2 linked regions of the Tamandua tetradactyla genome follow. The protein of the gene in region 1 binds, or shares a complex with, the protein of each later gene. Links are inferred from orthologs where the notes say so. Each region holds a gene or a part of one and is shown in the gene's direction. Other genes may lie near its edges. The genes, in order: DISP1 and SHH.

The links.
Region 2: the proteins of DISP1 (region 1) and SHH are in contact, whole or in part, in a cryo-EM structure (PDB 7E2I), measured with the Homo sapiens proteins. The link is inferred for Tamandua tetradactyla from reciprocal best matches to the Homo sapiens genes DISP1 and SHH. Residues at the interface, in NP_001356523.1 of Homo sapiens: Lys242, Thr244, Gly245, Tyr246, Lys247, Ala248, Glu260, His265, Arg299, Phe336, Gly337, Asp338, Leu339, Cys340, Gln341, Arg342, Thr343, Glu459, Arg899, His904, Asp906; in NP_000184.1 of Homo sapiens: Pro49, Asn50, Val51, Thr55, Leu56, Gly57, Ala58, Arg68, Glu71, Phe73, Lys74, Leu76, Thr77, Pro78, Tyr80, Pro82, Arg96, Leu97, Gln100, Lys186.

The regions. Positions count from the first base shown.
Region 1 is NC_135328.1:138,682,056-138,698,246, reverse strand, and holds the start of DISP1 (protein dispatched homolog 1), read left to right. Parts: upstream 1-9,970; 5' UTR 9,971-10,076; coding exon 10,077-10,125; intron 10,126-16,191. UniProt on the Homo sapiens protein: Functions in hedgehog (Hh) signaling. Regulates the release and extracellular accumulation of cholesterol-modified hedgehog proteins and is hence required for effective production of the Hh signal. Synergizes with SCUBE2 to cause an increase in SHH secretion.
Region 2 is NC_135327.1:201,343,973-201,359,696, reverse strand, and holds the start of SHH (sonic hedgehog protein), read left to right. Parts: upstream 1-7,830; 5' UTR 7,831-8,288; coding exon 8,289-8,597; intron 8,598-11,842; exon of another isoform or gene 11,843-12,376; intron 12,377-14,371; coding exon 14,372-14,633; intron 14,634-15,724.

The DNA.
Region 1 (16,191 bases):
GGGCTGGGGCCGGGAATCGAACCGAGGTCCTCCGGCATAGCAGGCAAGCACTTTGCCCGCTGAGCCACCGCAGCCCGCCCTGATTATGATTTTTTAATCATTATATGGGTATTTCCTTTTAATTTCTAGAATATTAGAATGGCCAGAGGGAAACACCTGAAATTTCTGAACTGTAATCCAGCTGCCTTGATAATGATTGCATTGATAATGTATAACTATATAGCCTTTATCTTGTGATTGTAAAAACCTTGTTACTGACCCCTATTTGTACCCCCTTATCCTGTTTTTCAACTTTGGAGTCTTATGATCACTAAAGACACCCTCTAATGTCTATTAATGAAGGGCCTTGAGTCAGCCCAGAACTAACCTACCCCAATTCCAAATCTATCTTGCCAGATGGAGCTGGATCTAACCAAAATTGGCCCATCTGACATATGCAGTAGCTTAAACTTTAACCTATAAGTGACCTATACCTCATTATAATAGTAAAAATCACACTCATCATCATGTTAAGGCCACCATTTTCTTCATATGTTCTGTGACTAAACATGTAATCAATCTGCTCATACTCAATAGTTAGATCACCTCTAATCTTATCATCTCGAGCCATTGTGCTCATTACCCTAAAGCCTGCCCATCTTTTGATACTGTAAAATTAGCAGAGTTATTGCATGTTTTGGTTTGGTAAATCTGCCAGCATGCAATATACCAGAAATGAACTGGCTTTTAACAGTGGGGATTTATTAGCTTACAAATTTATAGTTCTAAGGCCATCAAAGTGTCCTGATAAAGGCATCAATAGTATGCTACCTTCTCTGAAGACTGGTCAGAAGGCATATGGCAACATGTGCTGCTCCTTCCCTCCTAGGTTTCCTTGCTTCAGCATCTGACTTCAGTGTCTTCCTCTCTTGGTTCCTAATAATACCCATTGTCCTTTGGTCTTGCTTCTGCTTTTCATTACAAAATTTTAAGAAAGCACACAAAAGTGGATAGTTGTTATACAGTACATTGACAGTCCAATATTCTTTTTCATACTTTTGGGGTAGACAGTTGCTTTAGATACATTTAAAGAATCTTGTCTTCAGAAATATTTAAGGAATTTTACTTGTGTGCAATAGGTTGCCAGATTTAGCAAATAAAAATAGAGGATTCCCAGTTAAGTTTGAATTTCATACTTTTTAAGGAAAAGTACACCCAAATATTGCATGTTGTTCATTGTTTATCTGAGATTCAAATTTAACTAGGCATCCTCTGTTTTATCTGGCAACCCTATGTATAGGTGTGGTAGTTAGGTTCAGGTGTCAACTTGGCCAGGTGAAGGTGCCTAGTTCTGTTGCTGTGGACCTGAGCCAATGGTACGTGAACCTCATCTGTTGCTCATTACATCTGTAGTCGGCTATGAGGTGTGCTTGCTGCAATGAATGATGTTTGATTTAATTGGCTGGTGCTTAAATGAGAGAGCTCAACGTAGCACAGCCCAAGCAGCTTGGCATACCTCATCTCAGCACTCGCAGCTCAGCCCAGGCCTTGGAGATGCAGAAAGAAATCACCCCGGGGAAAGTTGTTGGAACCCAGAGATCTGGAGAGAAGGCCAGCAGAGATCACCCTGTGCCTTCCACGTAAGAAAGAACCTCAGTTGAAAGTTAGCTGCCTTTCCTCTGAAGAACTATATGTTAACTAAATAAATCCCCTTTTATTAAAAGCCAATCTGTCTCTGGTGTGTTGTGTTCCAGCAGCTAGCAAACTAGAACAGTAGGGCATTTTTCTAGTCAGTGAATATTTGCAATTTGGATACTTGCTTTCACAGGACAAAAATACGGAGTAATCAGAAATAACTCTCCATGGTTTGGCCTTGTCTACTGAAGGCAAATACAACCAACCTGTACTTTATGGTTTGTTTTTAATAGTGTTAAAGAGGATGTTAAAACAAAGAGAGTGCTAAAAATAAAGGAAATGACTACTTATAACCAATCTGGAAGCTTCTGTAGAGAAAACACATCCTCCTATAAAACATAAATCCATTGTTTTTACAAGGAAAGTTTTGCTTTAACCTTTTCAGGCCATAGCTAATTTCTTCTTAGGAAAGATGTATGCTTATGAGATTCAGAGCTGAATATTAATTTTATTACCTACCTAGTGGTGAGATTTTCCAGTTAGGAGTAGAATAGACTACTTTCCTATATGTCTATTTTAGTTACCAAACCATAGAGTGAGATTTTTATTGAAAAGGAAAGGCTCATTTAACTGGTAAAGTTGGAATTTAGGAGGTGAAGCTTTCTCTGGCAGGAGCATCTCTGCTTAGTTGTGATTATACTGGGGAGAACAGTCAGCCAGGTTTGAGAACCAAGCAGATATGTGGAATGCCCATTGCTTTTGCAGAAAGACAGACATGAATTGGACTTTAAAATTATCAACTTGTGTATAAGCTCACCCAAACCTTCAATTAATGAATACTATGCAAGCTTCCTTGTTGTGTTTCTCTCTTTTATGCATGGCATTTCCATTTTTTGGTCTTAAATGGGTTTGCAGCAGAAATCTCTCATTAGTATATAATGTGGAAATCATATTTAATTTGAATTTCACAGGAGAAAAGAGTTAAATAAGGCATATTTTATTTCTATTTATAAATGTGTTTAACTTCAAGGGGTATGAATATATGTTAACATATCTTTATGGGAAATACGAATCAACAGAATTAGACCAAAATATGAAAAATCACGTATATACTTTTTTCAATTGAATTGGTATATTTCTGGGGCAGCTCCCTTTTCAGGAAGGAAAACACCACCTTAAATTTTAAAAGATTCGTCTTTCACTTTAGTCTAAGTGATGTCATTAGATCACAGAAGATTGGAATCTACATAGAAAATCCTTTGCCGTAAGCACCATGCAGTAGAGTTTGGAATTATTAATTGGACAGCACTGGCTGAACTTAATTATCTCTGGATTCATAATCTGTAATTAATGCAATTTTGCACCAAATAGTTAATAATGCAGAGAAGTGCTGTTATGGTTGCCTCCAAGTTTAGAATAGTGGATTCCAAATTACTACATGTTCAAAGGGAAGAAGATATAGTTTTAGATATAACTGCTGATGACGTTGATGGTGAAAAATAAAGATAAGGGAAAAAACTTTTATATGTACTAAAGAAAATGGAGAACATGTAAATCAAGTTTATAAACAACCAACCTTATGTTAACTAGCCCATCTGTTTGAGCCAGTTGGTGAATATCAAAAAATGTATGGAAAATTTTCCTTATAGTTTTCTCTCTCACTTCAGAGTAACATGCCTATTAACCACTGTCACTCACCATGTCTCATAAATGTTTTCTGAACAGTTCTCAGGATGCTGCAGTCAGCCCAATGCCAGTATATAAATACAGATCAACTCCAAAGGCCAGGAGGTAGATGTAGGTAGGTCAAATCTTACACTTTTAAGTACCTTACAGGAGCCTCTTTAGGGTATTGCTCTCTGCGCCCGAAGTTACCTGATCCACAATAAGAGTAGGGCCCTAAGACAGGGAAAGCAGGCAGAACGGTGGACTGGGAAAGAGGAGATCTTAAACTGGTTCTGTCTCTGGGTCTACTGAGCTTTTTGACTGGGAAAACCACTTTGCCTAGCTGGATTTTAGTTCCTTTCTCTATAAAATGAAACATTTGTGATACATGGTTTCCAGACATAATATCTTATGAGTCTACGATTCTCCCTACCCATGTGATTTTAACACTAAAGCTGTCAAACCCCTTGGAAATTGTGTCAGATTTCTTGTGAAAGGAGCAGGAAGCACTGAATGTTTGTAAATCCTCTTCCCGCCATTGGCTTGGTGGGAGAAACTGGCTCCAAACTCTTGTGAGAAGAGATGGATGCTATGGGATGGATAGGCACACTTGTGTCTTGGTAAATTGATGGCTTGGTGTTTGAATACTAGGAACAGAAACCTACCAAAACAAAAATTAAGCAAAATGGTAAACTTACTGGAAGTTTACAAAATTTCATAGAATTTAAGGACAGGAAGTTTAATTGGATGTAACAAGAGACTGGGATTCAAAACCCAGAAAGATGAGAACTAAAATTATTACCTCTATGAGATAATTAATTTTTCTCTTCCTATTTCTTCTTTCTCTCCTCCTTATTATTCCTCCTTCTTCCTCCTCCTTCCTGCTATTTATCCCCTTCTTTCTCCACCAGCTTTAGATATCTTGCTCATGTCTAACTCAATTCTTTGTTTACACAATATTTCTATCTAAATATAGAGAAGACTGAGCTGGTTTGAATCTGTTATGTAACACATGAAAGACTATGCTCTTTTGATCCATTTTTGTGGGGGCAGACCTATGGTGAGAACTTTTGATTAGGCTATTTCAATTGAGATGTGATTCAGCCCATTCAAGGTGGGTCTTAATCCTTTACTGGAGTCCTTTATGAGAGGATAAAGACAGAGAAGTTTGGAGGGAGAAAAAAGAAACACCCAGGGATATTTGGGAGAGCCACTGAAACCAGAAGTAGGAGAGAAGTACCAGCAGACATTGTTATACGACTTTCCATGTGACAGTGGAACCCTGGTTACCAGCAGCCTTTCCTCAAAGAGAAGGTATCTTCCTCTTGATGCCTTAATTTGGACATTTTCATGGCCTTAGCACTGTAAATTCGTAATCTAATAAATCTCCATTGAAAAAGCCAACCTGTTCCAGTTTGCTAGCTGCTGGAATGCAACACACCAGAGACGGATTGGCTTTTAATAAAAGGGGATTTATTTTGTTGGTTCTTCAGAGGAAAGGCAGCTAACTTTCCACTGAGGTTCTTTCTTACGTGGAAGGCACAGGATGGTCTCTGCTGGTCTTCTTTCCAGGCCCCTGGGTTCCAACAACTTTCCCCAGGGTGACTTCTTTCTGCATCTCCAAGGGCCTGGGCTGAGCTGCAAGTACTGAGATGAGGAATGCCGAGCCGCTTAGCTGTACTACATTGCGCTCTCTCATTTAAGCACCAGCCAATTAAGTCAAACGTCACTCATTGCAGCAGACACGCCTCCTAGCCGACTGCAGATGTAATTAGCAACAGATGAGGTTCAGGTACCATTGGCTTATGTCCGCAGCAACAAGACTAGGTATGCTCACCTGGCCAAGTTGACAACTGAATCTAACACACAACCCATTTCTGGTATATTGCATTCCAGTAGCTTACCAAATCAATACAAAAACCAAGAGGAGGGACAAAGTTGGAGCTCAGTGCACAAACTCTAAAATCCATGCATGAGAAACTCTCCTAGCTCTATTTGGGTTAAATATCCACAACTGGTCCAGTTTGTTGCACTAATGAATAGAAATATGGATCATTTGGCTCAGTGCCCATTTACTAGAGGTCCTGGGGGCACATTACCTGAAACAAGAATGTGATATGTGCATTCTCCTTAAAACTAGTTTGGGGGACTTCCGGAGAAGATGGCGGCTTAGTAAGATGCGCGGGTCTTAGTTCCTCCTCCAGAAAAGCAACTAAAGAAACAGAAACAATACGAAACAGCTCCCGGAGTCACGACAGAGACCAAAAAGACAGCGTACCCCATTCTGGAACAGCTGAACGGGCAGGGAGAATCTGCTGCGGTGAGATACCCGAGAGGCGCGCGTTTTCCCGGCCGGGGCGGCTGGCGACTGGGGTCCCCTCCACGCACGTGGCTCCCCGGTCTGACTGGGAACATTGGATAGCGGGGCCCTCCAGTCACGCTTGGCGTTTCAGGCCAGCTGGGCAATTAGGACCGGCACTCTCCCAAGCCGCGGCGGCCAGCGACCCCCGCCTCCACGCGCGGTTTCCCTGGCGACTGCCGTGCAGACAGACGAGCGCCACGAGCGCCACCTACTGGGCAGGAAAAGAAAAACAGAGCCCAGAGATTTCACAGAAAAAGCTTTCAACCAGCTGGGTCCCACACCCAGGGAAATCTGATCAAATGCCCAGACACCAACAGAAAATAATGGATGACGCTCGGAAAATTGAAGATATGGCCCAGTCAAAGGAACAAACCAATAGTTCAAATGAGATACAGGAGCTGAGACAACTAATGCTGAATATACGAACAGAAATGGAAAAACTCTTCAAAAACCAAATCAATAAATTGAGGGAGGACATGAAGAAGACATGGGCTGAACAAAAAGAAGAAATAGAAAATCTGAAAAAACAAATCACAGAACTTATGGGAGTGAAGGACAAAGAAGAAAAAATGGAAAAAACAATGGATACCTACAATGGTAGATCTAAAGAGACAGAAGCTACAATTAGTGAACTGGAGGATGGAACATCTGAATTCCAAAAAGAAACAGAAACTATAGGGAAAAGAATGGAAAAACTTGAGCAGGGGATCAGGGAACTGAATGACAATATGAAGCGCACAAATATACGTGTTGTGGGTGTCCCAGAAGGAGAAGAGAAGGGAAAAGGAGGAGAAAAACTAATGGAAGAAATTTTCACTGAAAATTTCCCAACTCTTATGAAAGACCTAAATTTGCAGATCCAAGAAGTGCAGCGCACCCCAAAGAGAATAGACCCAAATAGGCGTTCTCCAAGACACTTACTAGTTAGAATGTCAGAGGTCAAAGAGAAAGAGAGGATCTTGAAAGCAGCAAGAGAAAAAAATCTGTCACATACAAGGGAAACCCAATAAGACTATGTGTAGATTTCTCAGCAGAAACCATGGAAGCTAGAAGACAGTGGGATGATATATTTAAATTACTAAAAGAGAAAAACTGCCAACCAAGACTCCTATATCCAGCAAAATTGTCCTTCAAAAATGAAGGAGAAATTAAAACATTTATAGACAAAAAGTCACTGAGAGAATTTGTGACCAAGAGCCAGCTCTGCAAGAAATACTAAAGGGAACACTAGAGTCAGATACGAAAAGACAGAAGAGAGAGGTATGGAGTAAAGTGTAGAAAGAAGGAAAATCAGATATGATATATATAATACAAAAGCCAAAATGGTAGAGGAAAATATTATCCAAACAGTAATAATACTAAAAGTTAATGGACTGAATTTCCCAATCAAAAGACATAGAATGGCAGAATGGATTACGACCCAGCAATACCACTGCTAGGTATCTACTCAAGGGACTTAAGGGCAAAGACACAGACAGACATTTGCACACCAGTGTTTATAGCAGCATTATCTACAATTGCAAAGAGATGGAAACAGCCAAAATGTTCATCAACAGACGAGTGGCTAAACAAACTGTGACATATACCTACAATGGAATATTATGCAGCTTTAAGACAGACTAAACTTATGAAGCATGTAATAACATGGATGGACCTAGAGAACATTATGCTGAGTGAGTCTAGCCCAAAACTAAAGGACAAATACTGTAAGGTCCCACTGATGTGAACCGACATTCGAGAATCAGCTTGGAATATATCATTGGTAACAGAGACCAGCAGGAGTTAGAAACAGGGTAAGATAATGGGTAATTGGAGCTGAAGGGATACAGACTGTGCAACAGGACTAGATACAAAAACTCAAAAATGGACAGCACAATAATACCTAAGTGTAATGTAACTAGGTTGGAACACTGAATGAAGCTGCACCTGAAATATGGTTTTTTGTTTGTTTGTTTGTGTGTTTGTATCTTTTGTTTTTGTTTTTTTTTCTTTTTCCTTTATATATATATATATTATTAGTATTATTATTTTAATTCTCTTCTCTATATTAACATTCTATATCTTTTTCTGCTGTTTTGCTAGTTCTTTTCCTAAATCGATGCAAATGTACTAAGAAATGATGATCATACATCTATGTGATGATACTAAGAATTACTGAGTGCATTTGTAGAATGGAATGATTTCTAAATGTTGTGTTAATTTCTTTTCTTTTTTTTGATTAATAAAAAAATAAAAAAAAACTAGTTTGGTTGCAGTTAAGCAAAATAGGATGTTGAAAGTATATAGGCATATATCATGTAATCAAAGGAAACAGAGCAGGCTCAGAGTCCTTGGCAAAGAGTGTTTATAGATCTTTTTAGAGCACTGCCATTTGTATGATTCAGCTTTAATGGCAAGCTTCTCTCTGTTTTCCTATTCCATACTTAAAATTCCTGGAAGGAAGATTAATTTGTTAACATGGTCCCGTTTTCCTAGGACTATCCCATTTAAGCACTGGAAGTCCAGCATCCTGGAATCCTCCTCAGTCCTTTTAAAACTAGGATGGTAGTCACCCTACAGTTTGGTAATTTGTGTTTATGTAGTCTTAGAAATGATTGTATCTGTGTATTGGGGCCATTCCTACATAGAGGGAATGGTGGTGCGCTAGAGAAACATCCCAAAGAATGCCTATCCTATTTTAGTTTTTGACTGCTCAGCACAAGTGCATACACATACAACTCTCTCTTCTTCTTTCAAAGACATTCCTCTCCACAATATGATTCAATAGTTTCATGTATCACCACAGATAAACTGCTGACTTCCCCAATGGTAGAAAACACAAAGTTGTGTCGTTTTACCCCATCTGGAGATGATGTTGTGCCCTCTGAGTCCTGCTTCTCTACATGATATCCATTCCTCCTTTTTCTCCACCATAGTCCTATCTCCATATACTGTAACATATTCTATTGCTGACAAAAAGAAAAGGGAAAAGAAGGAAAATTTTATATTATACTATTTCTTTTTAAAAAGGAGATGGTGGGACTTGCTGTATGAGAGGATATTTATTAAACATCAACAACAAGCAAAAATATAGCAGCAGATGTGACGGTATTCATTGCTGTAGCTGGTAATGAAGTTTCTTCTTCCTCTGTCTTTTCCTTGTGCTTTCAGCCTGTATCTCGGTTGGTTGAGGTGCTTTGTCCAATGGAGCAACCTAAGAGGTATGAGCCTTGTGGTCCTGCCTGTATGGGATCATGGTAGTTGTCCATTATCTCTACCTGTGGATATGGCACTTCAAGAAAGCATCCTTGAGGGTAAAATGCTCTACCCATGATCTCTCATGTTTTTTTCTTCTTTTATTTTTTTTTATTACCAGGCCAATCACCCTGGTCAACCCAATGACACTATTTTGTGGACTTAGAGGGCCCTACTGATTTCCTGTTGGGTACAGTCTACACATTATTTAGTGTAACTACGATAGTCTTCACGATCTGGCCTTGCTTCTTCTTGTGCTTGTTCTTGCCTCCATAAGCTCAAGTCTTGCTAAATTAACTGTACCATACCCTCCAGCTCCCTGAACAAGCCAAGTTCAGAATCCCTGGCATCTTGCTGTGCATGGCCTTCTCCATCTTGTCTGCCCCCTAACTATTGTTCATCATTTAGTTCAGTCTCAACCAAAAAGTTATTATCTGTAAAAGCCTTTTCTACCCAGATCCTTACCTCCCCCATTTGCTAATTTTGACCCATAGCACTGCCATAGTTCCTCTAAAATTTGGTCATTTTATTGCACTTGTTTGCTCATCATCTGTGCCCTTTATTGGATGAAGCTTCCAATGAAGCTGCTGTTTAATTTATTTTATGCCTAGTTCATTGCCCTGAATGTAGTTCTATGAAAGCAGAGGCACTAGTCTGTTTACTGTTGTTTCCCCAGCTGCTACTGTAGTGCCTGGTTGTTGAGTAAGTGATGTACAGAAGGTAATAAAAACATTTAATTAATGAGTGAAGGAAGAAGTACTGCCTCTTGGGGCGAAGTCATCTTTCAACTAGATGATGAGGACAGGAGTCAGTGTTGTCGTCAACCTGTTTCTCAAAAAAAGTGAGCAGAGCAGGTGCTTGGTCAGACATTGGCAGACTAGTTAACTGATCCACTGGAACCGGAAGGAGCAAGAGAGAAAGGCGACTTTTGGGATCCTGACCCTCCGACCCAAGTCCCTCAGACCAGGCCCCCGCAGGCAGCGGCAAACCCGCCACTCTCTCAGTCTCTGCAGGTTCTCACCGGGACCCCACAGCCTCCAGCCAGCAGGTCCAAGGAGAGGGGGCAGGGGTGGGACATCCGGTCCCGCCCGAGAACGACTTCCGGCTCAAGGCGGAAGCCGGGCTCCGGGCCAGGATCCGCGAGCCGGGACTGGAGGTGAATTCGGAGCTGGAGTGTTCCACGCTCTTGTCTCTTCAACGAATGTCTTTTGGCTCTGCCACCGGCCGTTACCTTGGGACGAGGAGATCGGGTAGGTATGGGAGAGTTGGGACTCTCCTAGGGTCGGAGAGAGAGCCGGGACCCTGGGGCTGACGGAGGGAGCCCGCACTGGAGCCAGGACCGGGGGCCTGGGAAGGGGAGAAGAACCCTGAGGGCAGCTGTGAAAGGCTGAGAAGAGGGACACCGGAGACCGGGGGTTGCGAATGATTCTGAGCAGAAGTGCATCTTGGAGGGAAGCTGTCCCGCGTGGGGGAGTGTCCCGGGTGCTGGCTGATCGCGAGTCTGAGGGTTGCACAAAATGGCAAAGATTGGATTCCAGCGAAAGGATTGAGAGGAAGGGATCCGTCCTTCTCTCAGGGTCGAAGATGAGAGGGCATCTTACCAAATGTATTAGAAATATGACTAGCTAACTACCTGCTGGAAGCTGAACTTGTACTGCTTCACTTGAAATTAATGCTGTTTTTTTTTTTTAGTGTGTGTTTTTTTTCCTCTTGTGTGGATTTCGGGAAAATATTTTACTATCCCAGGGAAAACTTTAACTCATCTTTACCCAGTCCCAGCTTATACTGCTGTTGTTTGTCAAACTGATAGTACTTTAAAATTCTCTTCTTGCAAACAGACCAACCAAAGATTTCCCTTTGGTCTCTTCTCTGCAAAGTGTAGGTTTTCTTATTTTCTTTATCACTTGATAAACCCTTATATAACCACGGTGATAATCATATGAAAACCTGTGCTGTCGAGATTTGCATTTCCAGTTCATTGTCTGTTGTTTTTCTGTCAAACTTTCTAACACTTCTTTTCTAAAAGTTATCCTATTGGGTTTTGTTTTTTTCACTTTAATAAAAAAGGGCAAGTTTAGATTAGGGTGCAGCAAATTACTAGCAATGCCTAAGAATTTATTCCTTTTTATTTCGCTACAAGGAATATCTATTATCTATATCTATGCTTTAAAAAATAGTTAAAACTCAATATTTGTTGTTATATACATATTAGCACATTTAGTTTTCCTTAATGACTTGTGTGTAGTAATATTGGGGGGGTCTTGTTTTTATCATTAGCAGAAGGTAATTATTAATTTCAGTTATTGTTTTCATAGTATTTATGTTTTATGGTAGCGTTTAGTATACATTACCTAATTTGCATAATTTAGTGTCTTGCTTCAATGCATTTATGAAGATTCTTAGCTTTTATGTATCTAGTAAGTGAAATTGGAATTTTGCTGCGATCTGTGCAAGGTAGCTAGTTAAACCATTTCACTGGTGAATGGTGATATTTGATGATTGTTTTGCATGTTTCACATGCTTGATATTTCAACTGTTAGAATTTTTATTTTTTAAAATAACTGTTTTGGTACAGGTAGCTTAGATCTGATTTGGTGGTCTTCCTTGAACTCATTCAAGTAAACTAGAACGTTTGGTCTTTATTGGTCTTAGCATCTTATTAGCTTATAAACTTGTGATGGTCTTGAAGATCTATGCCTTAGTAGATAGGGAGTTATAATTTTCTTCTATTTAGAGGCACAGCAGATATTTGCAAAAATAGAGTAGTGCCTTAACAGAAACAGTGCTTAAGCATGTATGTGAACATACTGAATAATTTTTCAAATCAGAAATTGTTACACTGATCTCTGAAGTTATTGAATTAACTATGTTGATTTCTATGCATTTCTTAATTTTTTTGTCATACTCTTAGTGATTACTTAAAAAAATTCTGCTCTGTTTATTAATCTCTTCAAGTTTGTATATCCAGTGTAGAAACTGGCATAATAACTTTGAATTACCATTCTTTTTTTAAAAAATATTTTTGTTGACAAATCTTCATACACCTACAGTCTGTATATGGTGCACAATGGCTCACAATATTATCATATAGTTGTGTATTCATCACCACGATCATTTTTAGAACATTTGCATCACTCCAGAAAAAGAAATAAAAAGAAAAAAGAAAAAACTCATACATCCTATGCTCCTTACCCCTCCCTCTCATTGACCACTAGTATTTCCATCTACCCAATTTATTTTAACCTTTACCCCCACTATTATTTATTTATTATCCATATTTTTTTACTTATCTGTCCATACCCTGGATAAAAGGAGCATCAGACACAAGGTCTTCACAATCACGCAGTCACATCGTAAAAGTTATATCTTTAATCAGTCATCTTCAAGAATCAATGCTACTGGAACACAGCTCAATAGGTTCAGGTGCTCCCCTACAGCCACTCTAATACACCATAAACTAAAAAGGGATATCTATATAATGCATAAGAATAGCCTCCAGGTTAACTTCTCGACTGTGTTTGAAATCTCTCAGCTGCTGAAACTTTATTTTGTATTGTTTCTCTCTTTCCCCTTTTGGTTCAGAAGGCTTTCTCATTCCCACGATGCTGGGTCCTGGCTCATCCCAGGAGTTCTGTCCCACGTTGCCAGGGAGATTTACACCACTGGAAATCATGTTCCATGTAGGGGAAGGGCAGTGAGTTCACATGCTGAGTTGGCTTAGAGAGAGGCCACATCTGAGCAACAAAAGAGGTTCTCTGGGGTGATTCTTTAGGCATAATTTTAAGTAGAATATACCTTAATTTTTTAAAAAATATTTTTATTGTAAACAACAAACATACAAACATTCTTGACATACAAACATTCTATATGTGGTTTTTATCAGTGGCTAACAATATCATCACATAGTTGTGTATTCATCACTGTGATCATTTTTTTGAACATTTGCATCTCTCCAGCAAAAGAAATAAAAAAGCAAAAGGAAAAGAGTCATACATGCCATGCCCCTTACCCCTCCCTCCCATTCATTGGCCACTAGTATTTCAATCTACTCAATTTATTTTAACCTTTGTTACCTCTATTATTTGTTTATTTATTATCTATATTTTTAAATCATCTGTCCATACTGTAGATAAAAGGAGCATCACACGCAAGGTTTTCACAATCACACAGTCACATTGTAAAAGCTATATCATTATACAATCATCTTCAAGAAACATGGCTACTGGAACACTGTGCTACAGTTTTAGGTACTTCCCTCTAGCTACTCTAATACACCATAAACTAAGAAGGGGATGTCTATGTAATGTGTAAGAAAAACCTCCAGGATCACTTCTTGACTTTGTTTGAAATCTCTCAGCCACTGACACTTTATTTTGTCTCTTTTCCCCCTTTTGGTCAAGAATGTTTTCTCAGTCCCTTGATGCTAAGTCTCAGTTATCCTAGGATTTCTGTCCCATGTTGCCAGAGAAGTTTACACCCCTGGAACTCACTAGGGCAGTGAGTTCACCTGCTGAGTTGGCTTAGAGATAGGCTACATCTGAGCAACAAAAGAGGTTCTCTAGGCTGACTCCTAGGTATAATTTTTTTAAAACTTTTTTTAATTGTATAGTATAACATATATACAAAATAAAGAAATAAAAAAGCAATAGTTTTCAAAGTGCTCTTCAACAAGTAGTTATAAGAAAGATCTCAGAGTTTGTCATGGGCTACATACAATCCTCTCAGATTTTTCCTTCTAGCTGCTCCAGAATACAGGAGGCTAGAGGGCTTAAATTTTTTTTCCTTCTTTTTTTGTGAAAAATAACATATATACAAAAAAGCTATAAATTTCAAAGCACAGCACCACAATTAGTTGTAGAACATATTTCAGACTTTGACATGGGTTACATTTCCACAATTTTAGGTATTTACTTCTAGCTGCTCTAAAATACTGGAGACTAAAAGAGATAACAATTTAATGATTCAGCATTCATATTCATTTGTTAAATTGTATGTTCTCTGTATAACTCCACCATCACCTTTGATCTTTCCATCCCTCTCTTTAGGGTTGTTTGGGCTATAGCCATTCTAAATTTTTCATTTTGGAAGGGTCTGTCACTAATATGGGGTAGGGAGATGAAATTATCTGATTTTCTGGAGAGGCTGGGCTGGGTTTCAGAGCTTATCTGGACCAGGGACTCATCTGGAGGTTGTAGGTTTCTGGAAAGTTACTCTACTGCCTGGAACTCTTGTGGAATCTTATATGTTGCTCTCGGTGTTCTTTAGGATTGGCTGGAATGTTCCTGGTTGAGTGTTGGCAGGTTATGATAGGTAGCAAGGTCTAACTGAAGCTTGCGTAAGAGCAACCTCCAGAGTAGACTCTTGACTCGTATTTGAACTCTCTCTGCCGCTGATACTTTATTAGTTACACTTCTTTTCCCTCTTTTGGTCAGGATGGAATTGTTGTTCCCATGGTGCCATGTCTAGATTCCTCCCCAGGAGTCCTCTCCCACATTGCCAGGGAGACTTTTACCCCTGGATGTCATGTCCCACATAGGGGGGGAGAGGAGTGATTTCACTTGCAGAATTGGGCTTAGAGAGACTGAGGCCACATCTAAACAACAACAGAGGTCCTCCAGAAGAAACTCTTAGGCATGTCTACAGGTAGTCTAAGCTTCTCTGCTACCTACATAAGCTTTGCAACAGTAAGCCTCATGATCAGGGCATGGCCTATTGATTTGGGTGTCCCTGGTTTGACACAGTATCAGGGGATTCCCTGATGGTAAAGTTTAATAGTTTTATATTCTTTCTCCCATCCCTCAGGGGACTTTGCCAATACTTTTTGATTATCTGGTTAATATACTCTAGGATGTTTCCAGGCATTACAATAATCTATACAGGATTAAGTGACCTCTTTCTTATTCTGGGCTTCCTGTGTTTCAGCTATTCAAATAAACTATACAGATAGGTTGAGTTAGATTATGCACTACAGCAAATTTCAGTTGCAGACCACATAAACCTTTCTTGCATTGGTCTCAAAGAGTATGTATGATTCTAAAATGTAGGCACTATCTTCCTTTACCGCTGTGTTCAGAGGTACTTTAAACCTAACCTGTTCAGCTTCATTCTTGTCTGTAAATATCAGGTTAAATATATAAAACAGCCTCTCAAAATGCAAAAATAACAATTGCCACTCTAGACTTAAAGTGTCTGCTCTAAAAGCTTACAATCTAGGCCCCTATTTTCTTATAACCATTTTCTGAAGGTAACCAAACCATTCTTGTTCATTTGTTTCTGGCTTCCTTTGTCTCACCAGATGTCCCACATGTTTATTCGCATCGTTGCATACCTCATGACGATGTTCCTTTTTGTAGCAGCACAACCTTGGTTCATAAGTATACACCATTGTTGGCCAATCTACTTCTCCGTCCATGCATCCTTCAGCCACCTGCATTCATTGGGCATCATGTAGAGGGCTCAAAGTCAACAGTCCATCAACATTCTCAATTGTAAATAATTTCATTGTTCCCAAAAGAAAGAAAACCAATAAACATACCCTCACCAAATAGGAAATCTAAACCTCCTCTTAACTCTTGTTCCTCCTCCCTGTTATTTACCTCTCTTGTTGCTGTGGTAGTGCTGATGGTTTCCTTTTGAACATAGCTCATAGCATGCAATAGCAGTTTCCCCCTGTACCCTGGACTTAAACACTGTTTGTACAAGAATCATATCTTTGAAGTAATTCTTGCAAGAACTAGTTCATATTTCTAGTGTTAATCAGTGTGACATGTAGGTCTATAGAACCCCTTTCAATCTTGGTAATTACAATATGGTAATATTACTTATAGACCCACTAGAGAACCACCTTTACTCCTATATAGTCCCTTACATTGGAGTTCAAAGTGTCTAATCATCCCAAATAAAACTGCAGTCCTGTTAGTGGGGACTAATCTATTCTGCTACTTATCCCATAATTCTTGGCAAATTTTCCAGCCTCTAGGCATGACTATGACCCACTTGTTGAGATTATTGTTATAAGTAGTTTTAATACTAAATCAAAATTGTTTGGATTTTATTACTAGACTCTTTTCTATATGGACTCTACCTAATTTTGCTTAGAATGAAGCATTATTAATTTTATATTTCTAATAAAATGATATGATATACCTCACAATTTTTAAGTACCGCAGAAAATACACTGATTCCTCTTAGCCTGTTGTTATTTGTTTTCTTTGGCTTGAGAGCCTAAGAAAAAGAAGAACCATTGCATAAAAGATTTGGGCAGGGCTAGGGAGGTTGACCAGTACCATACTAAGGGGTGCTAGTGGGAGTTATCT
Region 2 (15,724 bases), on another chromosome or scaffold:
TTTAACTTCTTGATGAATTCCGCTCTTTGGGTGAGATGCTAAGCAAATAAAGAATGCAATCCCCAGAAATCAAGGGCCCACCCCCTGTATTCTGTAGGTGATCATGAGCCAAAAGCCAGGAGGGAGTGATAATACCTCCTTCCCCTGATGAAGCTTTCTCTCCTTTGTCCCTCTGAGCATTCCGCAACATTTTTTCTGCTGCTCTGCCAAGCCAGAGCCCATCAAGGCACTGAGCTTCAAATAGTCTGCATTGACTTAGCTACTCCTTGAGGTTTTGTGTGTGATCTTGAGAAGTGCCACATACAGCCTCCCTCTGGAATGCAGGCTTCTGTCTCCCAGTCAGGAAATTCCTCTGTGTAAAAAATGGGTCCTTCTCTGTGCAAATACCCCAGCCAAAGAAAAAGAAGGGACAAGCCATGGAGAACCCACCCAAGTTTTCTTAAGTTTTAGGGCAATGCAAACAATTCAAAGAAGGCTGCTTAGTAATTAAGGTCCTAAAGGATTTGCTAATGTTATAACTGTGTGTTCATCACTCTCAGTTTCCCTTTCTATGCTCTTTTCCCACCTTTGACACACCTCCCACTTCCAATGCCTCCTTTTCCCCATACATTCTCTCTCCCCACTGCCCTTCCCTAGCCTCCCCTAAACCTATTTCTGTCTGTCTCTCCTATCAAAACAGCCCTCGGCCAATGACACCTCCGTAGTTTCTGACTCTTAATTTTCTGTGTTAAGAAAAAAGTATGCTTTAACCCCTTTCAAGAAAGCTTCGAAGAAGGCAAAGAAAGGAAATATTCTTTAGCAGGATGGGGACAGGGGATGGAGAAGATAGGGGAGAGGGTTTTAATGCCCCCCCCCCAAATTCCCAGCATTGCTGCTTTCCCTGTCTCCTTGGGTGAGTCTGGCCCAGCTATGCACAGGAGTTGGCTGAGCGAGTCACCTACATGCCTCTTCCCCAACATCTCCCCATACTACACGCTCGGCTGGTGCTGTAGTGAGTGACTGACAGAGCCAAAAAAGCTCTTGGGAAACTACCTCTCCTGGAAGGGAGGCTGATTATCGGCCCAGAGTGGGAAGAGTTCAGATGGACCCAATATCTAATGGGTAAGGAGAGGGATGCTGCTCGGAGTCCATTCTTATATACACAGTAGGGTAGGCAGACGGACAAAGTCTAATTCTCAGTTTTTCCAACTATAAAAAGAGACAGTTGATGAGAGCTCTAGCGTCCCTTGATTCTTCTGAGATTAAGATTGTGGAATTACAGAATTTAAGAGCTGGATGAACTTTTGGTATCATTTATTTCCTTTCTATTTCACAAGTATAGAAATGGAAGTTTTGCATGGTTGAATAACTTGCCCTTGAGCATGTGGCTGGGAGGGAGAGAGCTGGGCCTAGAACTTCATGAATCCCTTTACTCCATACAAAGATTATAACCCCTCCTTTGCCAAAGTACCATGTAAGGGAACATCTGCAAATATTCACTGACCCTACACTGAAATTCAAGTCTTTCTAGAGAATAGAGCCACAAAGGGCTTGAGACTCTGTGTTCTGACTTGAAGATTCAAGACAATAATGGGTGCAGCTGCTCTCAAGCAGAATTGTGACAAGTTCAGGGAGTAAAGGGACAGAGTGGAGGTGGAATAGAAGAGGAATGGAAAAGGATACCACAAATTGTTGGAGACACATAAGAGCATTCTTGATCACTCTAATTCTTTCAGTAGAACTTATGGCATAAACTGCCAGCTTCTGCTTGATTAATCTCCCAGTTAATTTTGCTCCTGCAAAGAAATGGCCTTTGTTTTTTCTGTGTGCCAGCATTGCATTCTTTTTTTTCCTTTTAAGAAAATGTTTGGATAGAAGTTACCCAGATGAGGTAAGGGTTCTGCTGGCTGCCAGAAGGGTCGCAGCCACCACCACCCCCCTTTAAGAGTAGCAGAATGAGCCATAGGAGCAAAGCTCAGGAAGGAGGTTCTTTCAGCAGTAGGCAAAAGCAAGAAGCTGGGTAAAAAAAAAAAATTGGCCTTCATAGCTTCATCCCTGGAGAGGGGCCATGGAGGAATATGGTGAGCTAGGATGCTCTCTTCTCTCAAGTCTCAGAACAGCCTCCTGACCAGAGAAGATTTGCAGAGGCATCTCAAAACCTAATTCCTGCTCCAAGACCCAGCCCCATGTGGCTCTGGTGAGAAGTCATTCGTTGTGGCCAACCCATTCTCTAACCCACTCCTCTTGAGTCACTGCAGCCCTTCAAGTACTTGGCACTCTCCTGGACACACACACACACACACTCACCTCACCCAATTCTCCCCTACCAATACCTGCTCTCCAGAAACTCATGCACACATTCCAACCCTCTCAACCTTGAAGGTGTGAAGCCATGTCAGGCTTTGTGCCAGGAATGGCCAGGGGGCAGAAGGGATCCAGAGATAAACAGGCATCCTAATAGGACAGGTGAGGGTGCTGAGGCTGGGAATCCACTGGTGGATCTGTAATCTAACCTAACTGAGCCTATCATGCCCAGCCCCATAATGTGCTTGGGGGATTCCCAACAGGGAAAGCAGCAAAACAGAAATTCTGATTTGATGATGACATTGGGCACTGTTAATTGTTGCTGGCGCCGCTGTTTTTATGCTTCCAGGCAATTCTAATGTGCAGCCAGGATTTAGAACTATGGGTTTCATGTATTACATTCCCAGGGCACCTGCAGCTTCACTAGTTTCAAAGATTTAAGGAATGGCAGTCCCACAGTCGAATTTCTAGGTGGCTGTGGTATTGGGGAAAGCATGCAAGATTTAGGATCAAAAGAACTAGATTTGGGATCCAGTTCCATCATTGACTTATTTATGTGAGTTTTTGATCTGTAAATGGATTACAAGGCTACCTGCCCACTTCCTGCTTCCCTGTCCAACTTGCAAATGTTGTCACTAAGGTTCCTATGGATAGATGGATATGAAACCTCTTGGAAACAATAAGTAGCTATACATACTTAAGACATTATTTAGGAATAAAAAAATACTCATCACTTAAATTGAAGATTATGTGAAATAGAGGCAGAACAATAGTCTGAAGAGAGAAACTCAACACAAATTCATAAAGCACCATAATTCAGGTGGAATGTTCATATTTTCTGACCTAGTATATCTACTTTTATAAGATATAGCTTTATTTGTTCTAGCTGGCAGTGTGAGCTTTCAAGTGTCAGCAAAAAACTGCATTTCAATTTTCCTAGCACGTAAAACCCAGATATCAATACCTGCTCTACTGGTCCCCAATCTGTGGAGCAAACGAGATGCTGAATACGAAAGTTCTGGGGAAGGAACCATTAGTATGCCAACCCAGGAGGTTCCGTGTCATATGGGAAGAAAACAAACTGAAAGTTACACTTGCCTGGAACTGTGCCTCTTCACTAGGAGGCCCCAGCTTCTAGTGCCTGATGGGTGCCCAACAAGTATTTGGTGAACAAAACTGGCAGGAATAAAGATTGGAACCATAAAACACAAAGATAAAAAAGAGACTTCAGGATATCAACTGCACCACCTTCTTACTTCAGGGAGTGTAAATGAGGCCCAGAAAGATCAAAGGTTTTGCCTGAGCTTACAGTGCTACTGAGTCGGGGAAGGAGTTGTGCCTTGGGTCTCCTGTCCCTTATTGCAGCACCTTTTGACCACCTCTGCAGTGCACTGTAGAGTGACAGTAACGTTCGCCAGCAAAGTCCCACACATCGAGCATCAGCCAAGTCCAGCTCCTCTCTGCCAGCCAAGCTGTTTTGTCTGTCCTGACTGCAGCTTCCCCAGCTGCTCCTGCCACAGCCACCTCTGGCCTGATCTCCATGGCAGTGGGAATGGAGGTATGTGAACCCGCTGCTGAGAACGTCATGGCAGAGGGAGTAGATGGAGGGGAACCCAGCTCCATGCCCTTGCTGTATAGTTATCTAGAAAAGGGAGAAGAGCCACCGCTTCTCTTCACCTGCTTCTCGGTTACCACCACTGAAGAGCAGAGGCTGGTCCTGGGCCTCTGAGCCACCTCTGAGCTCACAAGCCACCCAGTGCAGGGGCTCATCCATCCTTTCCCCCCAGTAGACTGATCAGGGACATGCCCTGGGATTAGGAGAACAGTGCTAAAGAGCACATCCCTCCAAAGTACAGAGGAGGTCCCTGGCTAGCAAATGAAGGAGAAACGGAGCAAGAAATACCAACAGAAATTCGATTTGCCAAAATTGGAACAAAACTGGAAAGATACTGAAATTGGATGATAGGATAGGAAGAGATCGGGTAGAATTATTATTAGGAAAAGCTATCAAGGAAGGGAGGGCACGTGGGGAACAGGAAATGTAGGATTAGAACCAGAACCCAGAGACTGGAAATAAGAGGGCAGGAGAAAAGTGATAGACAGGGATTTAGGGACCTCAGAGCTCTCATCTACCTGCTGGGAGGGTACAAATCTATGATGGAGGGAGGCAGAGGAGGGGGTAGACCGTCGCAGATACTGGCTACAAGGATCAAGGAAGGATGAACTAACGAGGCTAGACACCCACCCCCACCCCCACCCCCACCCCACTTCCTAGGGCCTCCCAACCTGGCTCCGCACTGATTTACCAAACACTCCCAAGCCAGAGAGAGCGCTACATTCCAGAAACCGAAGGCAGAGTGAGGAGGCCATCTAGCGGCAGGGGTCGGAAGGGAGAAAAAGGTTGAGTTCAGAAGAAGGGCGCCTTCTGGGGGGCTGGGGGCAGAAGACAGAGGCAGCCCTCAGTCCTCAATAGGGAGGGATGGGTGAGTAGATGCATAGAGAGATGGATGGATGAGTAGATAGATGGAGAGAAGTTTGGATGGATATGAACGACCCCCAGAAAGAAGGGGAGAGCCCTGGAAATCAGAAATGGATCCCGAGGGTTGTGCGGGAGGTCTGGCCGTGTCGCGCACAGACCAGGAGGATTTGGAACCTCTGACCGGCATAGGGAGGGGCCCGAATTGTCTGGAGGGGGAAAGGCAAAGAGAGGGAGCCATCTGGTGTCTGGAGGTGGAAGACAGAGTGAGTGTCTGGTGTCTGGGAAATGGGAAGTGGGTGAGATGAAAGGAAAGGGGAAGTGGTAGGGGGGAGGGTGGCGCGGAGACCGCAGTTTCCCCGGGTAACTCGGGTAACTCGGCTGGGAGTCCTTGCAGTACAGAATCCTGAGTTTCTACGGCAATAAATATAAACGGCTATTGATTTTCGCCCATATTTTCCCCCAATTCACGACAGGCGGCAACCCTCTGAAATAAGGCCTCAGTGGAGGATTTTATGGTGATTTCTCCATCATCATTTCAGTCATGAGGATCTGGCCAACTCCCCGGGGAGGCCGGCCCTCCGGAGTTTTCCAGGGCTAACCGAGAGGTGGAGAAGAGGGCTGTGGCCTCGGTGTCGGTGTCGTCCCTCCCGGGGAGGGCAGGGGAGGGGAGGCCTGACCAGCTTGGGAAACTTCCAGGGTAGCCCCAGCGCAGTGCCGATTCGCATCCCCTAAGAGGGAGGAGACCTTGCCTCTGGAGTCACTCTCTGCTCTCTCCTGAAACGGAGAGCTCCGCGGAGCATCCGAAGTCAAATTGCTGCCCACTGTGACCCTCACCTCCACCCCACACCCCGAACTTTCCTCAGCCCGAGGTGAAAACACAAGGCCCCCACACCCTGCCTGTTGGAGCTTTAAGGTTTTTCCACGTGCGTTTATTGCTGGCATTGGCCGGGCGCCTCCCCAGCGTGTCTGCGCTGCAGTAGCCCTGCTGGCCGCTCTGTGGACTCGCGGCCGGCGAGCCAGAAGAGTCTCCCCGGCCTGGGGCCCGCACGCCCTCTGCGCGGTGGGCGCAGGATCGCAACCCGGGTGCTACCGCCTTTTTGCATTTATTAGGTTTTTAAGTGAGGGCGCGAGAGTTGAAAAAGAGCAGGAAAAGGGAAGGGACTGGGACAGCAGGAGATGCCAATGAGGGGGAGGGTGATCAAAAGGTTTTCAAGTCTCCCACACGGTCCAGATCACTTCTTAAGCCTCGGCGCTTTTTAGTGATATTATATCAACACGTGTTACACGAGGTAACCACATCAAACAAACCGACCCCTCTGGTATAGAGCATAATATCATTTTTGGTATCTGTTTTTACCTGGAGCACACAACATACACAATTAAGACTCGCACACAGACACACACTCACCCTGGACAAATAGTTAAACCCGGGATTTATCAGCCGAATTCTGTCATCTTCAACTAATTGGAAAACTCTTCTTTCTTCTCAGTCTTCCTTGATAAATTAGGCATTGCTTTCCCACCTTGCCCAGAGGTCAGCGTTCTTCCTGAAGAATCAATACTTTGATTCTTCAAAAATCATAGAATAGAATAGAAAAAGGATAGCGATGGGGTGGAGGGAATTGTGTAAACCCTGGGAGAGGGGCATTAACTGTCTGAGTCTTGATAATGCTCAATCTCTGTGACAATGAAATTAGATGTGTCTTAAGATCCCCCTTACACACTCACCCCAAAAAATGTTTATGGTCAAAGGAAAATTGCATGAACTGCTGGAACCTCTCCATTGTTTTGAGGGTTGAACCTTCAGACTTGTACTCTTCTCGCTCCACTCCGAAGGTTTGAGGTCAAGGGAGAACATTTAGCTACACAGGGCAACAATCAGGGTCAGTATTTCTATTCCACATGAATAACCCCCCTCCCTTGCCCCATTCCAGAGGGAATATTGCATATGAGTGAAATGAAGGGGGCTAAAAGGAGGAGGACATGTTATGCAAAAAGGGAGAGTTTCATATTTTATTTTTCTGGTTTAATGAGGATGGGTTTTTGTTTTGTTTTGTGTGTGTGCGTGTGTTTTTCTTAAAGATGTGCATGATCTGAGACTTAGATATTGCTATCCTCTGGATGTTATGCTGTCTTCTAGGATGCCCCTATTTGACCACAACATTACCTCCTCTAGTCCCCTGCTGCCCTTTTGGCTGCAGCCCATGACCTGGCCAGCTCTTATTCCTCAGATGTAGCTTGGAGAGTTCCATGTAAAGCCCGCACTGCACACTGTGTCAAGGAGCCTTAATTTAGCATTAAACTCATCCCTTGGCCCTGCACTTTGCTCTGATCGATCTGTGGGGGTGGTGTTTGCAAAGCCTTGCCCACTCTCTGCTGCCCTCCAGGCACAATGAGCCTCCGCCCACCACACACACACACACACACACACACACACACACACACACACAAGCAGAGGTTCCCTTCAGTGAGCTGGGGGTACCCACTTTGCCCATGAAACCTGACTGTCCAAGCTCTTTACCTGCCTCTGAATCCACTCTTATCCCATTTTCAGAGTTTTTAAAAGCAATGCATTCATTTAAAAAAAAATAAGGTAACCATATTTTAAAGTTTTTCTAAGGCAGTTAAAGCACCTCAAATAGCAGTACTTTAAGTTGTGGTCACTCGTAATTGCCCTCCTTTGGAGGATGCTAAATACTCAAGAGGAGACTCAGACTTCTCTTCCTTTAAAATGTAGGGAGACCTGGCCTGCATGGTAAAGCCTCTGAAAAAAAATTAAATAAGAGTTAGGCAGCTTTGCCCCTCAAACCTTTCAGAGAATATTTGTTTGATGATCAAAGCTTTGGGAGGGGGGTCTAGACTGTCCTTTATAAACTTATGTTGGTTTTAACCGAAGCATCTACCATTCCCAAGAAGTAAAGGGGGGAAACACATAGATACACACAAAGCAGGGTTTAATTGATGTTATCCCAAGAAATATGCCTCCTCCCTCCCACCCACCTTTGTCTTAGTAAAGATTTTTCTTTTTTTTTTTTTTTTACTCGAAGCCTTCAGGTGAAAATAAAGCAGCAGCAGCAACAGAAAAAAAAAATGTAGCCTTTTTGAGGGTTAAACATCAGAAGACAAGCTTGTGCTGCCTTGGCCAATCAGATACGCCCCTGCCAGCTATAATATAGTACTAAAGGCAGCCTCTCTCACAAGCGTCTCTAGGCTTGCTACCATTTAAAATCAGACTCTTTTTGTCTTTTGATTGCTGTCTCGCGACCCAACTCCGATGTGTTCCGTTATCAGCGACCGGCAGCCTGCCATTCCAGCACCTGTCTGGCTGGGGATCGGTGGAGAGTCCCACGCAGCAGCGGCGGGCAAGGTTATATAGGAAGAGAAAGAGAGCAAGGGAGAGAGCAAGGGAGAGAGCGAGCCGGAGCGAGAAAGGGAGAGCGCAAGAGAAGAGCGAACACGCACACACACGCGTGCACACACGCTCACACAGAGACACACGGGGAAAGCTTTGAAGTAATTGGGTTCCATGGACAAGATGCTGCTGCTGGCGAGATGTCTCCTGATGGTCCTCGCCTCCTCGCTCCTGATGTACTCAGGGCTGGCGTGCGGACCCGGCAGGGGATTTGGGAAGAGGCGGCACCCCAAAAAGCTGACCCCTTTAGCCTACAAACAGTTTATTCCCAATGTGGCCGAAAAGACCCTTGGGGCCAGTGGAAGATACGAAGGGAAGATCTCGAGAAACTCCGAGCGATTTAAGGAACTCACCCCCAATTACAATCCTGACATCATATTTAAGGATGAAGAAAACACCGGAGCGGACCGGCTGATGACTCAGGTAGAAACCCAGCTCTGGGGCGTGGAATGTGTTTCTTTAAAGGGGTTTACGTGTAACGAAGCAGTTCCAGACTTAGTCTCTTTGCTTTTTAAGCAGATTTCAAGGCGATTTCACCCTCTCCTTCCCCGCCCACCTACCCACCTACCACCCGCTTCCTCTTCCTGGAGGAATGGAGGTAATGTGTCCAGCTGGAGAAGTTTAGGGTGTGGATGGGAGTGAGGATGGTAGGAGATGTGATTGCATTTATGGCCCTACTTTGATTTCTGTCTTATTGGGATTGGCCTTCCCCCTGGTGCCCTGTTCTGGCTGGTAACTTGGAGAAATCTTCACTTTCGGGATTTCTGCCTTTTCCAAGTCTGCCACTTTACCAAGGGGAGGGGGTGGGAATGGAGGGAGGGGGCGGGAATCCCCCCATAAACAAAAAGTGATGCCCCCCTCCCCCATGTCGCTGTTACAAATGTGCTTTGAGCATTAAATCTCAAAGCTTAGACTTTCCCCTCTCCTCTGTGATTTTCCTTCCCACGACTGCCCCCACCCCACTGCCCCCACCCCACTGCCCCCCACCAAGGAATCCTCAATTCCTAAAGCCAGGAGGCGGTTCTGACAAAAGGCAATGGCTTGGGGTGGGGGGAAGCAGCTCTGCCTGGTCCATGACTGAATCACAGAGCTTGCATTGCGATTCTGTCGTTTGCAATTGTGCCCATCCGAGTGTGAATATATTGATATTTCTTTAAGGATGCTCTTTCATTCTCCCAAGCCCGCGGTACCTTAGGGGAGGGACTTAGAACTTATTGGCATTGCATCACTCTAGTTTTTAATCAGCTTGCATAGGAATTATGAGCAAATAAATAACAGTGGGAAGGGGGCTGGAAAAGAGAGCCAAAGCAAAACGTACATCCCCACCTCCTTTGAACCATCTGGACTGCAAACCTACCCTATTCTAGACTTTCTGAAACTCCGTGCATATATGACTGCAGCTAGAAATGGGTTTCATCGCAAATATAGGTCAACATCATTTTTATTGCCCTATTAAAATATTCAAGTCCTACCTTTAGGGCTAGACATGCACAGCGGCTAACTGAGCGGCGCTGGTGGGGCACAAGTGCAAGGGAAAGGAGGAGGAGAAATAGATTAAATACCTGGGGGCCGCTCCTCTTCCCAACCGATTCCTGGGCTTGTTAGTGAAGCTGAATAAGGAAAGGGGACAGCCAGGGTTGCTAGCTCCAGCTAGCAGATGTGGGATGAGTGGAAGTGGAGGAGAGGATCCTTATCCTTCGGTCTCTCCCATCTGCTTCCGACCACCTTAAATCTGGACCCAGAGTATGGACGCGCGCGCTTGTGCCAGATAGAAGCTGGAGCTACAATTAACTCTGCACAGGCCACGGTGTGCAGGATGCGTGCAGCGAGCTGGAGTGAGTTCTCCGGATCGCCCGCAGCACCTATCCCCTGGTCAGCCTCGCTCCCCGGCTGGAGCCTTCCCCGGGTCCCTCAGTACCCGGGAGGAGGGAGGAGACGCGGGAGAAAGCAGCGGGGGCGGAGACACTGGAGGTTTCGGAGTCGGAGCGGGGTCAGCGTCTGCCCTTGTCTGTGGGAGGCTGTCGCGCGGAGAGACGGGTCCCCCACCCCACCCACGGCCCGCACCCGGAGCGCAGCCCCGCGGCCCTTGCTCCGAGCCCTGGGTCTTCGCCTCCCTTCTGGAAACTGCAAGCCCGCGGAGCTGTGCACCAAGTCAGACGCATTTTCAGCTCCACTTACTCCTCTTTTATCGATCGCAACGGCTAGGGTTTCAGTTTGTGCGGCCAAGCTGGGGCTCGGGCCGCCGCCACGGTCCCTTCCCTGCCCCTCCACGCGCACAGGCAGGAATTAGCTACATAACCACGACTGTAGCGATAATAATAATAGTGCTCTAATCATCGTAATTAAGCCCGGCGCAGGGGGAGGGGCGCGGCGGGCGCGGGGAGGAGGCAGGGGTGTGGTGACGGCGGTTAAAGGGCCGAGCACCGAGCGCAGCGCAGGCTCCGCGGGCTGCGGCTCTCTGGGGCTGCTCCTCGCGCAGTCGCTGCGCCGAGCTCCCGCGCCGCCCGGGTCTCTCCGGCCCCTTCCGCGCCACGAGACTCCCCTCACGGTCTCTCTCCCTCTGGTCCCCCGGCTCCAGCCCCCCGCCCCGTCTGCCTTCCCGGGGAAGCCAGGGCCGGGCCTGCCCCACGCCTTGCCACTCTCGCCGCCGCATTAGCTGGCAGCATTTGAACTTCTGACCTTCTGTCAACTTCCCTCAGACGAACGAAACGAAAACAAATACTTTTTTCTTCAGCAGTGGCTATTCCCGTTCCCAACACAAAAGGAGGGGGGAGGGGCAGCCAAAGCGGGGTGGGGTAGGGAGAGCCAGGCCAGGATTGCAACACTGACCCCTCAAAGGTACCCTAAAAACCTGGGTGGCTGTTGGGGGGGGAGGGCAGCCCGGAATGTGCCCCTTGGTTTATCCCTCCTGTAACATTCCCGTATTCTGATTCAGAGTTAAAAGTGGAGGCGGAGGTGGAGATAGGGATGCGAGGAGAAAGGCCGAGGACCTGGGTCACGTGGGGGCAGGGACCGTGGGAGTTGAAGTGGGTGCAGGGAAATGCTTCCGAGGCCCAGAGAGGGTTTAGGGGCTCCTCAGAGAACTTGCTCACCCGCTGGGCTCCTCATTTTTAAGTAAACATCTAGATTCTGCTCTCAGGTGTATGCCTTGCGTTTCTGCTTCTCTAGCTAGTCTCTCCCCGGGTCTCTAGGTGTGTCTCTGTGTCCCTCTAATGTGACCGCTGCCCAAGTCCGTCAACCATGGCAAGATCTTCCCCAGTGGAACTTTCAGAGCGGTTCTTAAACGCATGAGCTCCTGGTTAATATTAACTCGGAAAAGAGGGAAAGCAGACAGACACACTCTCCCAGGCGCAGGCCCACGGGGTGCACTTGGAGGGTGCCGATGGCAAGGGGGCGCTGAGAGGGGGTGAGGAGGCCAGCGAGGACCGAGTCTGGAGGCTGAAGTTGGGGGATTAGCCTGAAAGGCCACGTTAAATAAATTTCCTGCCTGCTTTGCAGCCAGCTGGGGAAGGCGTTCAAGGTGTGGGTCTGGGGAGGGTTTTTCCCGTGAGTGTGGGGAGGAGGGTGTTGGGGGACTGGGGGGCTCTTTTTGAAATTCGGATTCCTGGCCACCAACCCCGGCACAGGGTGGGGGAGGAAGCCCACCAGCTGTTTGCAATGACAGGTACCTGCTAAGTGTTTCCTCGGCGCGATCCGTTTGTGTGGAGATTAGGAAGTGTGGCCGGGAGCTGAGGCGTGCTGAACAACTTTGCCTCTGTGGACACAAAGCCTGAGCCTGGGCGGCCCTGCTGGGCTTCACGGTGACTGCACAGAATCGGGCTTGATTCGTGGCACACGACCCAATGAATTAATAACTGGCTAGGGCTTCACGGCTTTTGCCTGCGACAATCCAGCTCAGCCAGGGCGGAGGGCCGTCCTTCAGCCGCCGGCGGAGGCCGCGCCTGGCCCTTGGGCCGGGAAGAATTCCGCGGAGCCGGCCGGGGCGGGGAGGAGAGGGGACTGGGTGCAAACTCCGGCCTCGGCTGGTCCCCAGCGCTGCCACTTCCACTCACCAGGCCTGACCCGGCCTGCGGCTCCTTGCGTGGCCCAAGTGGCGCAGTTCTAGGTGCCTGGGGAGGTGGGATTGAGTCCTCCCCATCCTGCCCTCCCCCTCCCCAGCTGCACTCTGGGAAGCTGCTTAATTCTTCACCTTCCCCCAGAGAAGGGAGCTGAGGGGGGAAGGCTCCGGATGGGGTGTGTGTTTGTGTGCCTGTTGGTGAGTGTGCGCCTGCGCGTACCCTGGCTTCACATCCCAGCTCTAAACTGACCCTGGTTTACTGATTGATTTTCATGTAAAATGCGTTCAATCCTCAAGATGACCTCACTCAAACTCTTTTTTTTTTTAAGGAAGAAAAGAGCTAGCAGGCCCAGAAACTTGCAAGAGCTGACCTGTTACCAGGACCACCCCCAACCCTCTACCCCCACCCGTTTGTTATATATTTAACTCTACAACTATATTACTGGGTTTTTTATTGCTGCCAAATACACAGAACTTTTCCTGTTGAGCAATCTGACCTGTCCCCTTAAAAAGTGGGCAGCAGTTCTTCTAACAAGATTTCTCTTTCCCCTACCCCTTAGCAAGAGTTCCCATACGCTATTATTAAGGTCCTTAATAGAGGCTATTTTTCTATCCTGGTACTCCTGTTGGGAAGAGTTGTTTTAGAAAACCCCAGCATCCTACCTGTCCTGGAGGAGATTAGAGACCTACCCTTTGCAGAAATCAACTTAAATTGTTCACTCTTGCCTCTGCTTCTGTCTGCCTCTCAAAAGGATACCTCCCTCATTTTGTCACTATTTCCTCTTTTTTAAAGCCCCCATCCCACTAACAGCAACAGAAATCCCCAGATAGTGAATTTAGTAACCACACACAGGTACTCTGGAGTCAGTCAGACTTTTTGATCCATATTACTGGAGAATTGGGGCGGAGGGGATATCACAACCTCAAGTTCCATTTTACCTTAGTTTCTATCGAGGCTATCCAATGTTTCTTTACTCCTACAAGCACCTTCCTTGGGGTGGGGGCAGGAAAGGGGATCAGAATGGCCACTCTGAGAGGAAGGCTTCCCAAGGCCTTCGGGCCTCTCTGTGCCTTGGTCTTTCTGGTGAGGACATTTTTCTCCCTGGCTTCCCATCCCCCAACCCCTTTCACACACAAAGTCCCGGCTTGATCCACACACTCACCGCCCCCCCTTCACCTCTTAAGTTTGCTCTTCAAACTTGCAGGACACCATTCTACAGTGGGGCCAAGAAAACAAGAGGGGAGGAAGGGAACAGGTTAAAGAAAACAAGAAACACAATCAGACCACAGAAAACCCAGGCAGAAAAGAGTTCCACAGAGAAAAAGAATGTGGTTGTCCAGATAAAGAATGTTTGTCATCCCAGCCCCGGCCCATATTGAAAATTATAACTCACCTGGTTGCTTTTTGCTCTGGCTCTCTCCCACCCCTTAAGCTTTGCTATCAGCTTCCCACCTCCCTCTCTTACCTTTGGCTTAATTTTCACCTCAGATAGGTACAGGGGTAAGAGGGAGGGTCCAGAGATAACGAAAGGCTTTTAATTCTTTTAGAAGTGTGCAGTGGATTTTTCTTTATTTCTGCAAAGTTGCACCCTGGGCCTCCCTGGCCTCCTCATGAACCTCTGACCAAGGGTCCTAGTGAGAGATTTGGCCCAAGGAGAAGGGTGGAGCCTTGCGCAGGTGTGGAGAACTGTGACCACAGAAAGGGAACTGGCAAAGCAGAGGGCAATCCGGGAGGGGGGTGCACTATGGATTCTGGGATCATTGTCTGAAAACAGGTAGTTTTCTTTTTTTTCAAAGAAACTTCATCTGCATCTCAGACCACAATATGAGCATTCGCTATTTCAGAATCTGCAGAAAGGCTCAATCCCAAGAGGACCCTGCCCAGTGCCTTCTAGTCTGAGCTGGTTGGGCCCCATTCCATGCCCTGATCTCCCCTCTTCCCCACCCACCTCTTGCCCCTGTGGGACCACCTGGCCCTGCCGACTGCGCAGCTTTGCCTCCAGTGAAGGGCGCTGTGCCTGGGACCGGGTGGCCCAGCAGGCAGGGCCCGGGTAGTAGCGGGACAGGACACGGGTGGCGCAGGCTCGAGGGACGCTGACGTCTCTGTCTGTCTGGGGCTTCCCTCCCCTTCTCTCCGCAGAGGTGTAAAGACAAGCTGAACGCCTTAGCCATCTCAGTCATGAACCAGTGGCCGGGAGTGAAGCTGCGGGTCACCGAGGGCTGGGACGAGGACGGCCACCACTCGGAGGAGTCGCTGCATTACGAGGGCCGGGCCGTGGACATCACCACGTCAGACCGCGACCGCAGCAAGTACGGCATGCTGGCCCGCCTGGCGGTGGAGGCCGGCTTCGACTGGGTCTACTACGAGTCCAAAGCGCACATCCACTGCTCGGTGAAAGCAGGTAAGGCCAAGGGCGGCAGCCCCACCTTTCTCCCTACACCCCCGCCCGCCCACCCCCACGCCGACCACGCCACCCCCAGAATCGCCAGATCTGCTCCACCAGATAAGTCAGCTTGATCCCGGATGGGCTGACATTCAAGGGAAAGAGAGAAATGGCGGGGTGAGGGGTGGAGAGCGTGAAGAAAAGGCAGGGAGGGGAATTGGGGTGATGACTAGTGGTTCTGTGGTGGGATCATACCGCCCAGCCGGGAATTGCCCCCCTCTTTAATTCCACAGAGGCCCGGAGATTTCTCCCCAAGCCCAGATGCAGAGGGGCACATAGCTTCCTTCGCGCAACCCCCACCCCCACCCCCACCCCGTTTCCGGAGGTCCCACTGCAGGTGGTGGAGACGGGGAAGAAGGTGGGGGGAGGGGTGTGCAGACGGAGACTAGGACTTTCCTGGTGAGAGAAGGCAGCCCTGTCCCTCCAGCGAGGTCTGGCCTAGATCCTTCACCTCATTTAGGGCTTAAGAAGCAACCACCCCCCAAGCCGACAAGTTTCTGTACAGAGCGCAAGCCCGGCGTCCTCTCTTCTCTCCGCTGGGCGCCTGTGGCTTCTAAACTAACTTAACTGACTCGCTAAGCCTTTAGGGAGAGCCCTGGTGGGAGGTAATAAACCCTGGAGTTACCACTTCCAACATCTGGAGGGCCGCAAGCCCAGAAGCATCTGTTATTATTACGAGCCCAGCTGGGACGCCCTGTGCTGTGCGCCAGACCAGGAAAGACTATTTCGGCTCGCAGTCTGCAGCTGGAATATCCCAGCTCCGAGCTTGTGGTGTTATGTTCATTTCCCTGGGCTTGCAACGCCACATGCTGTTGCCAGTGAGGAATAGCTATGAAAGAAAGGCATTAAACACGCACACGCACACACACACACACACACACACACATCCCAACCTGGAGGCTATTTATAAAGATCGCTCCATCTCTCAGCATAAGTTGACGCGTTTAGCAAAGCACTTAACAGTGAATTTCGGAGGAATTGGTTCGTCCCTCACCTCCCCACCCGACCCTGAGTTTTGCCTGCTTGTCTCCTAAACTGTATTTTAATGG